2 linked regions of the Arabidopsis thaliana genome follow. The protein of the gene in region 1 purifies or fractionates together with the protein of each later gene. This does not show direct contact. Each region holds a gene or a part of one and is shown on either strand. Other genes may lie near its edges. The genes, in order: CRK3 and TUB9.

What was found.
Region 2: the proteins of CRK3 (region 1) and TUB9 purify together in Arabidopsis thaliana (affinity purification with mass spectrometry, with the first as the bait; one study listed by BioGRID). This does not show direct contact.

The regions. Positions count from the first base shown.
Region 1 is NC_003071.7:19,182,087-19,188,928, reverse strand, and holds CRK3 (CDPK-related kinase 3), read left to right. Parts: upstream 1-2,116; 5' UTR 2,117-2,498; coding exon 2,499-3,041; exon of another isoform or gene 3,042-3,318; intron 3,319-3,831; coding exon 3,832-3,962; intron 3,963-4,149; coding exon 4,150-4,191; intron 4,192-4,294; coding exon 4,295-4,403; intron 4,404-4,492; coding exon 4,493-4,571; intron 4,572-4,658; coding exon 4,659-4,955; intron 4,956-5,039; coding exon 5,040-5,149; intron 5,150-5,238; coding exon 5,239-5,346; intron 5,347-5,436; coding exon 5,437-5,499; intron 5,500-5,573; coding exon 5,574-5,741; intron 5,742-5,823; coding exon 5,824-5,961; 3' UTR 5,962-6,276; downstream 6,277-6,842. UniProt on the Arabidopsis thaliana protein: May play a role in signal transduction pathways that involve calcium as a second messenger. Serine/threonine kinase that phosphorylates histone H3 an GLN1-1.
Region 2 is NC_003075.7:11,180,505-11,185,330, forward strand, and holds TUB9 (tubulin beta-9 chain), read left to right. Parts: upstream 1-1,587; 5' UTR 1,588-1,713; coding exon 1,714-2,107; intron 2,108-2,290; coding exon 2,291-2,560; intron 2,561-2,665; coding exon 2,666-3,336; 3' UTR 3,337-3,598; downstream 3,599-4,826. Other genes in the region: AT4G20880 (ethylene-responsive nuclear protein / ethylene-regulated nuclear protein (ERT2)), read right to left, coding at 1-102; MS5 (Tetratricopeptide repeat (TPR)-like superfamily protein), read right to left, coding at 3,599-4,259, 4,295-4,411, 4,500-4,648, 4,731-4,826. UniProt on the Arabidopsis thaliana protein: Tubulin is the major constituent of microtubules, a cylinder consisting of laterally associated linear protofilaments composed of alpha- and beta-tubulin heterodimers.

The sequences.
Region 1 (6,842 bases):
ATATTGCTCATGCTGTCAGTATTTATTACTAACTTAAGAAATTAAAACAAAACCAAAATTTGGTAACTATAAACATTGTCGTAATGTTCTTAGTGAAAAATTGTGGTCTCAAATTTTATTGTATATAATTTATTAATTTATCAATCATGCTTTGATTGAATAGTTTAGATGGTAAATATTCAGCTGAATGACAAAAAAAAGGTTATATTTCTCAAAGTTGGTTCATGTTTAGGATTAGGCCTAGAAGCGGGTTGATATTGGGCCTATACTGGGCTGAACTGTTTTCCTTTGAAAATTAAGGATAAGATCTACATTGTGAACGACAAGCTGGGCTCGATTGTTTCGGGCTCATAAGGGGATATTATTATTATTTAATCAATTTCTGCAAAATATTTACCAACATAACTTAAAACAAATTCTAACAATTAGGATGACAACAAATCTACCATTTTTTTCGTGGTTTACCATTTGTTTAATTTACGAAGTAGTTGTGAAAATAAACTTGAAAGGAAATATTGTGTCGTATAAGTTATAACTCATTTTTGAATGGTGAATTTGATAAATATTTTTAGACACATGTTTATTATATTATCAAACTGCTGACAAGAAATATATTAATATGAATGAGCATTGACCATTGGACATAAATCCAAACGAAGAGTTCTTAAAACATACGCTATGATATCAGATGACGGTAATAACAAATTAATACATACGCTAAAATTTACAGAAAATACAAGATTTTTTCACTTTCTCTATTTTTTAACGAAATATTTGTCGACTTCTGAGGTAATCGATGTTAGCCTTGAGTTTTGTAATTTGTATAAAAAATGTACTCCAATCACAATAATTTTGGTGTATAATAAATCCAATTAAACTAAACAAATGCATGTTGTTGGACTTACTTTAAGTCGGTTCAATATTTTGTAAAATACCATAGAATATTGAAGGTGGATTCTATTCCCCATTTACATTTATTTATTTTCCTTCTATTTTCGACATACTTTAAAATTATATTATTACCCATTTGTTCGGCTTTATGGACAATTATTGGTGTAAATGACCATATATTTCCTAATGTCTGCTGATACAAACAAACGGTAACTTCTAAACTTTCAATTTGTTTAATTTATTACATCAAGGTTTATCTTTCAAAATAAATTTAAAGAAAAACTGCTTCTTACCTATTTGATAAGTTGATAGTAATGTTTGTGTTAAATCTCCTCATAGACGTCGCTTTACCTATTAATTACCACTATAATTTAATTTCATAATTGGATTTAGTGTCACCCTAATTTTAGTACGAGAGATCTCTAAAGAAAAAAGTGAAAACACAATCACAGAAAATTATTACAATTTTTAACAAGATTCTAGTATAAAACATATTGATTTCAACGTAAAGAAAATTTAATCACAAAGAAAAAAAACAATAACTTTGTAATATTGTATCTCCGTGTGATTGCTTTACACATGGATTTATTTAATTAATTAACAGATAAAACATATTAATTCCAACTTCTTCTTTCTTTCTTTTTTGGACAAAAATTTCAACTTTTTTTATAATATAACTTTTGTGTCGAAAATATATACTTTTCCTGAAAAAGAGTGATAACTAATTAAAAAAAAAATGTTTAGAAGTACAAAAGAAAAGTATTGTTTCCAAATTCGAGAAAAAGCTGTAATCACGCCCTTGTGTTTAATTCTCAATAAATCACATTTAAAAGCGATTTTTTTAACGGCCCAGATATTGTCACGTAGGATAACGTACTCCGTATATTCTCCATTTCCGAACCATCCGACCAGGTCGCATCATATGTTGTGAAAAAATCGTTATGGAAGAAACTCTGTTTTAGTTAGATCCAATAATATTAAGCCACGTGGAATTGATGAATCCAATCTTCTTTATAAACTCCGTTTTCGGAATTTTGATTTTGTTTAAAATGTCTTACAAATTTATATAAGGAAACGGCAAAAGAGCCCAAAAAGTAACAAAAGACAAAACAATTAAAGGAAAAAAGAAAGAGTCAAAAGAACTCGAACTATCATATAATAAGAAAAGAAAAAGACATAGGACAAAATAAAATATATTCATATTCACAAAACACAAAACAAAATTGTTAATCAAATAGTATAAGACTAAAAATGCCTGATTAGGGGAAGGTAGTTGTTGTTGAATAGTGACTAGAACGAGTTAAATGGTTTGAGATCTCCAAGTTTACATTTCAACATCTCAGATTTTAATCCAACGGTTCTCAATCCTTCTACTACGTAAAAACACCACCGTCCCCGTTCCGTTCCGTTCTGTTCTCTCTGTCACTTTTGTCTCTTCTAAGTTTTTAACACTTACCTTGTCGTCTCTGTTCTTCTTCTTCTCTCATTCCTTTCGTTTATCGTTTTCTTCTTCCAATTTTGGATCTCTCTTCCTTTTGATCTGATTCGTTACTTGCTCTATGTTGCTTCAATTTTGAATTCTTTTGATTTTTGATTGTGTGGGGGAGATGGGGCAATGTTACGGGAAGGTTAATCAGAGTAAGCAAAATGGTGAAGAAGAAGCTAACACGACTACTTATGTTGTTTCCGGCGACGGGAATCAGATTCAGCCTCTAACTCCGGTTAATTACGGTCGAGCTAAGAACACTCCAGCTAGGTCATCGAATCCGAGTCCTTGGCCTAGTCCTTTCCCTCACGGATCAGCGAGCCCTCTTCCTTCTGGTGTTTCTCCTTCTCCGGCCAGAACTTCCACTCCGAGGAGGTTTTTCCGACGGCCTTTCCCGCCGCCTTCTCCAGCCAAACACATTAAGGCTTCTTTGATCAAACGTCTTGGAGTGAAGCCTAAGGAAGGTCCGATCCCTGAGGAGAGAGGAACTGAGCCGGAGCAGTCGCTTGATAAGAGCTTTGGTTATGGCAAGAATTTTGGTGCTAAGTACGAATTGGGGAAAGAAGTGGGTCGAGGGCATTTTGGTCATACTTGTTCTGGCCGTGGTAAGAAGGGAGATATTAAGGATCATCCTATTGCTGTCAAGATCATCTCCAAGGCTAAGGTTTTAAATTCTCAATCTTTTGAACATCTAGTTTTTGATTTTGGGATTGCTTGCATTGGTGTTGAATTTTAGCTTATATTGTGATTTGTTTGTTGCTGATGCTGCTACAAGAATCTGTGGAGGGTTTTGAAATGTGGAACGAGTAATGCTTACATTTTCTCGTAGTTGAGGTAGTGAAAGTAAGATTCTTGGGTTTGGATAATGGCTGTGGGACAGTGAATTGTCTTTTTCTTCCAGCTGAGTCTCTTGAGACAAACAATGTTGTCTCTTTTGATAGGTAAATTTTTTGTTTGGCAGTGAGTTGAGTAGACAAAAATGTGAACTTTTTGTTGATTTGTCAGCATTAGGACAAGGATAGTCATCAAAGAATGAGTTTCATGTACTAATGTTTATGAGCTTTTCTTCTGCAAACATTTGTTTGTTCGAAGCTTGTAATCACAGTTAGGTTACGTTTTGATTACTTAGCTGTTGATTTTGTAAGAATGTTATGGTGTTACATGTGATATTTGTTGTCTGTTTCATCCTTTTTTGAAAAGATGATTCATGAAAAACGTAACTAGAGAAGTCTTTGTCTGGCTGCGTCCTGGGGAGACCATAATCTGACATTCCTTTTGTCTGCATTAGGACACAATGTTTTATGTATGGGCTTCACTTTTGAAAGCTCATGATTTTGGCTTATCTTTGTAATGAAGCTGGTCTGACACATTTTGGTGACAGTTGTGCTATCCTTCTCTCTAATAGAACAAGCAAAAAGGATTTGTTGACTGAATTATCTTTCTGTACTTGGCAGATGACAACAGCAATTGCAATTGAAGATGTTCGCAGGGAGGTGAAGTTACTGAAATCATTATCTGGACACAAATATTTAATCAAATATTATGATGCATGTGAGGACGCCAATAACGTATACATAGTCATGGAGTATGTCTTGTTTCCATTTTTTTTTATCAGATATTTGATGTTCTCTCTTCCTCAGGATTTTGGCTGTTACTTAAATGTTGTAACACAGAACATCACTTCTGAACTGCATTTCTTTGAACATATCTCTGTAATCAGACACACCTTGTAAACCAGTTACTTAAATCGATGTTTGGTTCTGCTTGACCAGGTTGTGTGATGGTGGAGAACTTTTGGACAGAATTTTAGCAAGGTATGTCTGATTACTCTTTTAGGTGTTTCTCTGCATATGCCTCAAGTTAAATGCTGAGAATTTATTCATATCTATGCTCAAACACTGCATTCTCTTGTCTCAGGGGTGGTAAATACCCGGAGGATGATGCAAAGGCGATTGTCGTACAAATTCTAACTGTTGTTTCATTTTGTCATCTCCAAGGAGTTGTGCACCGTGACTTAAAGCCAGAGGTCTGTTTTTACAAAGAAAACTTTCCCTATCTCTACCTCCAGTAGCATTACACATCATTACTAAACACTCCTGTTACCTTGTTCAACAGAATTTTCTATTTACATCAAGCCGCGAAGACTCAGACTTGAAACTTATTGATTTTGGTCTCTCAGACTTTATTAGACCTGGTAAGACTTTTCATTCTTTCAGGCCTTGTCACTATACTTTCCTTATAGCTGCCTACTAGTGAAATTTGATTGAATTCCTCAATGCAGATGAAAGACTGAATGATATAGTTGGAAGTGCCTACTATGTCGCGCCTGAAGTTTTACACAGGTCATATAGCCTTGAGGCTGATATATGGAGTATTGGAGTTATTACATATATACTCTTATGTGGAAGCCGACCTTTTTGGGCACGGACAGAATCTGGAATCTTTCGCACTGTACTAAGAACTGAACCAAACTATGATGACGTACCTTGGCCTTCTTGTTCATCAGAAGGTAAAGATTTTGTGAAACGACTTCTCAACAAAGACTATAGGAAGCGAATGTCTGCAGTTCAAGCTTTGAGTGAGTTTTTTTTTTCTTTTTTTGACACATCATTGAGTTATATTATTTTGAACATTACAGAACTAATGATATGTTTATTTTCAGCTCATCCGTGGTTACGGGATGATAGTCGTGTGATTCCTTTAGACATTTTGATCTATAAGTTGGTCAAAGCCTACTTGCACGCGACACCTCTTAGACGAGCTGCTTTAAAGGTATGACTTTCTTCTTCTTCTTCTTTTGGCACAAAGTTGGTAAGAGTTGATTTAGAAGATTGAAGCATATGTTTAATAATTGAATCTAGGCGCTAGCAAAAGCATTGACCGAGAACGAGCTAGTCTATCTTAGAGCACAGTTCATGCTGTTGGGACCAAACAAAGATGGTAGCGTCTCTCTCGAAAACTTCAAGACGGTAAGTTACTTAATCTGAAGGAAGGCCTTTGGTCAATAGTCACATCGGCTTTTTTAAACTAAAAAGGTTTAATAAGCTCCATCCTCGCAGGCGCTTATGCAAAACGCAACAGACGCAATGAGAGAATCAAGAGTTCCTGAAATACTTCACACTGTGAGAACCTGAGAACAAATTTGAGAGAAAAATGAATCAATCTTTTGGTTTCTAATGATCATCTGTTTTGGCAGATGGAATCTCTAGCGTATAGGAAGATGTATTTCGAAGAGTTCTGTGCAGCAGCAATTAGCATCCATCAACTAGAAGCTGTTGACGCGTGGGAAGAGATAGCAACGGCAGGTTTCCAGCATTTTGAAACCGAGGGAAACCGAGTGATCACAATCGAAGAACTAGCAAGGGTATGGTGTTAAATGTAATCCTCTCGATTCATAGGACCGGTGTTTGGCTTCGGAACTGAATTTGACTCTGGTTATTGAACAGGAACTGAATGTGGGTGCGTCTGCGTATGGACACTTGAGAGATTGGGTAAGAAGCAGTGACGGGAAGCTGAGTTACTTAGGGTTCACTAAGTTCTTGCACGGAGTTACTCTTCGTGCTGCTCACGCAAGACCTCGCTAGTCCTTCTCTAATTTTAGGTCTTTTTCTTAATATTTTTTTTCTTCATCAGAACAGAGCAAATAGACTTCTGAGAGAGGTGAGGGGTATTTTCGTCCGTTTGTTTTGTTCTTTATCGTATTATAGAGTTTCAATTTTATGGTACAGAAAAGACCAAAATGAAAAAAAGATATAAACATGTGCATAAGGTAGATGGGTTACAGTCATTTTTTTGCAAGTATAATATATGAACATCTATGGTTCAAGTAGTCATATTGTATGTCAATTGCTTTTAACTTTTACATTGTTTCCTCTAAGCAAATCACTTCATCATCATCATCTCCATTACAACAAATCCTTAAGAATATCATTCATACCATTAAAGAGGTCTAGCATCTAATCAAACGATTTTCAGGCCAACTACTAATTCTACATAAGGCTATTATGAAGGGTTAAAACTTAAAAGCAAAAGACAATAAAGTAACGCTGTCCTAATCAACAAATTAAAAAATGAAATGAAAAGTGATAAAACAACAATTAGTGATAACCCAAAAAAAAGCTAAGCCTTTCCTTTTCTCAAATGGTGCCGACAATCGAATCATAACCATTTATTACAAATCATGATAGTGAGATGAGTGGGTTCGATCGTACCCATTAGTCTACGGAAAACAGGCACTCTACAGGTGTGATAGTATATATATACAGCCCAAATCATGATACTTTTCGCTTTCTTAAACTAATTGTTTCACAAGTATATATGTTTTAATTTAGATAGTTATATTTAATATAAATGAGATTAGATTGTAGTACTGCCCATATTTTTTTGTAGAATGTATACAAACTACAAAGATATCAGTAAGAAGATAGGATCTTCTTGGTTTCATCCTTTTTACTGTGTGATATTG
Region 2 (4,826 bases), on another chromosome or scaffold:
AGTTTCAACAACGAGAGATCCACCATGTTTAGGAGATTGTTGAAAGTCTGATACGAATCTAGAGATCCGACTAGATTTAGATTTCTTCCAAGGTAAAGGCATGTTGAAGGAAAGAAAGAAAAAAGGATTTAGACTTTTAAAATCTTTTTTTTGGTGATAAATCACCTCTCCGAAGAACCCAGAAAAAAGGGTTTGTCGAAGAGATAGAGAAGAAGATCTGGTTGGAAGATCAAAACCATTAATTAGACATTTTGGAGAGACAAATGCAATAAATGGAGAAGAAACCTCTTCCTGCCCTCTTTGCGCAGAAAGTGAAATGAGAGAGAGAGAGATATGATGAGGAAACCGCTAAAAAGACATTGCAGGACGACGCGTGCCTTAACCAATTATTTTACTTCCTTTTTTTTGTTACAAAAAATTTGTTATTTATTTCCATTTTTGTTAAATTTGTACAACTGTACTATGCAGTTTTTAAGATTTTACACTTTCTGCTGTACCAAAATATTACCTATGTCCATCTGACCGAAATTATTAAATTAATTCTAATAAAAAAATTCTAATAAAGCTGATCAATTTATTTATTTTAGACTTAAACTTTACAAAAACTAATTTATTCAGCTTAATTTCCCCAATATGTAAAAACATTAATGACTACAAGTATGGTATAACAGTAGCTTCAAAATCTTAATTCATTTATACCGAAGCAAAAGTGAATTTGGTAAACCGGTGAAAAAAACAAACCATTCCGAAACAGATTTAAGATTTTTGTTCAATTATATTTTGTAAGCAAACAAATTACATCGAACTAAACTAAACTAAACAACCGAAATATGCATCCATATTATTTGTGAACTAAACATGGTAAACCGGTAATAGCTATTTTAAGATCCTTACATTTTTAAAATTTGTCTAAAGATAATTTGAACAATTTCATCTATTGTTAAACCTATCAACGAATTGTGTCTATAGTTAGATGCTAAAAAACCTTCCTGATAGATTTTTTTTTGTTTGAACCGTTGATTCATATAATAAACTTAGAAGCAAGACATATAGTAATATTTTTTCACTTGAAAATTGATATTTATGCAACAGATTAACTATTCTAAAATCGTCATATTTATGAGTTGTTATTTGCCTGTAAGCCATTTACTTCTAATTTCTATTGTCAGCTTATCTAATTAATTTGGTGATTTGCTAAATAAGTAAAATTGCCTATTATTGGTGTGAAAAACAACAAAGGAAAATCCACTAATGACGCAAATTCGAATCTTTTGGTCTTTAATTTCAATATCCGAAGAAAAAAGGATCTAATCAATAATATAAAAAAGCGTAGAAAACAATTTGCCTTTATATAACTTTCACGAGTGATTTTGTAAATATTTTATAATTAATTAACAAAAATATCTAAGGAAAGATATTTGTTTTTGATTCGCTGTATAACAGCACATAAAGGAAACCAAATCGAAAAACTATCAGGGTAATATCAAAAACCAATAGAAGTCTAAGGACGAAAATGCAAATTATTTGAGAAACTAGAGAAAAAAGGAGGTAAACTATATATAGCCGATTACTACTCTCATTTGTTTTTATACCCCTCAATCATAAACAATAAACAGAGGGAGTCGCCAAATTTTCTCATCATTTTCTCGAGAAAATAGACTAAAAGCGATTCCCGAGAGAAAGAAAGAACAAAAAAAAAACATCCGAGTGAAAATGAGAGAAATTCTTCATATTCAAGGAGGTCAGTGCGGAAACCAGATCGGAGCTAAGTTCTGGGAAGTTATTTGCGGCGAGCACGGTATTGATCAAACCGGTCAGTCATGTGGCGATACAGATCTACAGCTTGAAAGGATCAATGTCTATTTTAACGAAGCTAGCGGAGGCAAATACGTTCCTCGTGCTGTTCTTATGGATCTGGAGCCTGGAACTATGGATTCTCTCAGATCTGGGCCGTTTGGTCAGATTTTCCGGCCTGATAACTTCGTTTTTGGTCAGTCTGGTGCTGGGAATAACTGGGCGAAAGGTCATTACACGGAGGGAGCTGAGTTGATTGATTCTGTGCTTGATGTTGTGAGGAAGGAAGCTGAGAACTGTGATTGTCTTCAAGGTGAGAGAGATACGCTTTCATTTTCTAGGTTTTCGTTTTCTGAATCTCGTTTGTGTTTTGATTTGTTAGCGTTTCCTGTTCCTGTATGCATTCGAATTCAGATCTGCTATTAGAAACTCCTTCATAGATGCTTTGTTTAGCGTTTGATTTCATTCTCTGATTGATGATTCATTTGTGGAGCAGGTTTTCAAGTTTGTCATTCTTTGGGAGGAGGAACTGGTTCTGGAATGGGAACACTTCTTATTTCTAAGATTAGAGAGGAATATCCAGATCGTATGATGATGACCTTTTCGGTCTTCCCATCTCCTAAGGTCTCTGATACAGTTGTTGAGCCATACAATGCTACTCTTTCCGTTCACCAGCTCGTTGAGAATGCTGATGAATGTATGGTTTTGGATAACGAAGCTCTTTACGATATCTGTTTCCGTACCTTGAAGCTTGCTAATCCTACATGTGAGATTTACAAACCATTTATTCTCTTGTTTTCTAATATTCATGTGATTGTAGTTTTGAAAATCCTGACATTGTTCTTCTTTCTTATGTGGTGGTGTATCTTAGTTGGTGACCTTAACCATCTCATCTCAGCTACAATGAGTGGTGTTACATGCTGTCTTCGGTTCCCTGGTCAACTAAACTCTGACCTTAGAAAACTTGCTGTGAACCTTATTCCTTTCCCACGACTCCACTTCTTCATGGTTGGTTTTGCACCTTTGACATCAAGAGGATCTCAACAATACAGTGCCTTGAGTGTCCCTGAGCTAACTCAACAGATGTGGGATGCCAAAAACATGATGTGTGCAGCTGATCCTCGTCATGGTCGTTACTTGACAGCTTCTGCTGTCTTCCGTGGAAAGATGAGTACCAAAGAGGTTGATGAACAGATGATGAACGTCCAGAACAAAAACTCCTCATACTTTGTTGAATGGATTCCAAATAACGTGAAATCAAGCGTCTGCGATATAGCTCCCACTGGTTTGAAAATGGCATCAACTTTCATTGGAAACTCAACTTCAATCCAGGAAATGTTCAGGCGTGTGAGTGAACAGTTCACTGCCATGTTCAGGAGAAAGGCTTTCCTTCATTGGTACACAGGAGAAGGAATGGACGAGATGGAGTTCACTGAAGCAGAGAGTAACATGAATGATCTTGTTGCAGAGTATCAGCAATATCAAGATGCTACAGTCGGTGAAGAGGAGTACGAGGAGGACGAAGAAGAAGAAGAAGCCTAAAGAAAAGATGATTGATTATTACTTTTGTAAGGCTGTAAGTTCGTCGCACTCATTTCCTTTTACCTCTTTTTCTGAATTGGGATTCTCTCTTTTTGTGCTTTGTGTGTTTTGTTATTGAATTTCTTTCCCAAACCTAAGATTTGTTCCAGAGTGTAATCACATTTGCCTATGCTTCTTTGTTTTGTCTATGAAAATATTTCAATGTCAAAAGCCTATACAATTTCTATGATCCAAAAAACTTGATAACCGGTACAAATAGATCCTACATCTCTGCGGTTTTAAGCTCTCCCTGCAATCTTTCTTCTTCTTCTTCTTCTGCTTCTTCCTCTTCTGCGATATCTGCCCAGCTTTTCTTTGATTCACTCTTCGGACCATCTGCTGTATCTTTGACGAATTCATGGAGATATTGAATCATGTTCTGGTCCAGTTTCTTTCGCTTCATGGGTTCTTCTTCTCCTCTCTCTAAGATCTTCATCTGTTCAGAGCCAAAAGGTTGTGGTTTTCCAAATAGTAGCTTTCGAGCAGCACCTCTCGTCTCTTCTTCAAACAATCTGCATCTGCGTGGTTGTGTATATAGACCTGCAGAGTTCGGTCTCACAGATGCTGGAGACGAAGAAACATCTGAGTAGTTCTTGTTTGCGGTTCCAGGAGCTATATTTTCCTTCATCCTATTCACAAATGAACATCCCGCGTAGAACTTCTCCGAAAGATCAGCTTCTGGCTTTTTCGATTCTATTTCTGCTAACATTTCGACGGCTCGGTCATAAGACTTTGCGAATGGTTCATCTCCGCATTCACTCTCTGCAGGAGAATCTCTTACATCATCAAGCAGAGATTTAGCTTCAGGAATTCGACTCATACGCATCAAGCAGATTGCAAGGTTACAGAGTTTGTTTTTGTCTCGCTCCAAACCCAAAGCTCTCCTGTTCATAATCAGTTGAATATAAGCAAAACTCACATGACCAGACAGTAATCAATATTTGGGATTTTGGTAACAAAACCAAACCTGTAATGCTGCTCTGCAATTCCATAGTTATGTAACTGTAAATGAACCCAGCCCAAGTTCCCTAGTATCCTAAAATGTTCAAACAACAATGGAAACGTCAATTCAAGAGACAAAACACTCATCAAGCTAACATGAGAATACACCGAAACTTTCTCACCTTGCTTTCTCTTGCTCGATAGTCATAATAACATGTTTTCCTTGAACCCTTTTTGCTCTACTGACTCTACCACCAAATCCCATTCCTTGTTCGAGTGTTTGCAGTTTGTGCTCAAGTAAAACAGCTTCTTCTTCAATTCTCCCTGACTTCTGCAAAAACACCAAAACCCATTTCCAAGTTATAACAACTCCATAACACTTGCTGCATTAACAAAGAAGGAGGCTGCATTACCTTGTAGAGCTCGAGTAGCAAGTTATCAATCGAGTCTTGAGACTCGAAAGAACAGAGATACCGAAAGGATTTAATAGCTTCAATCCCTTCATCAGA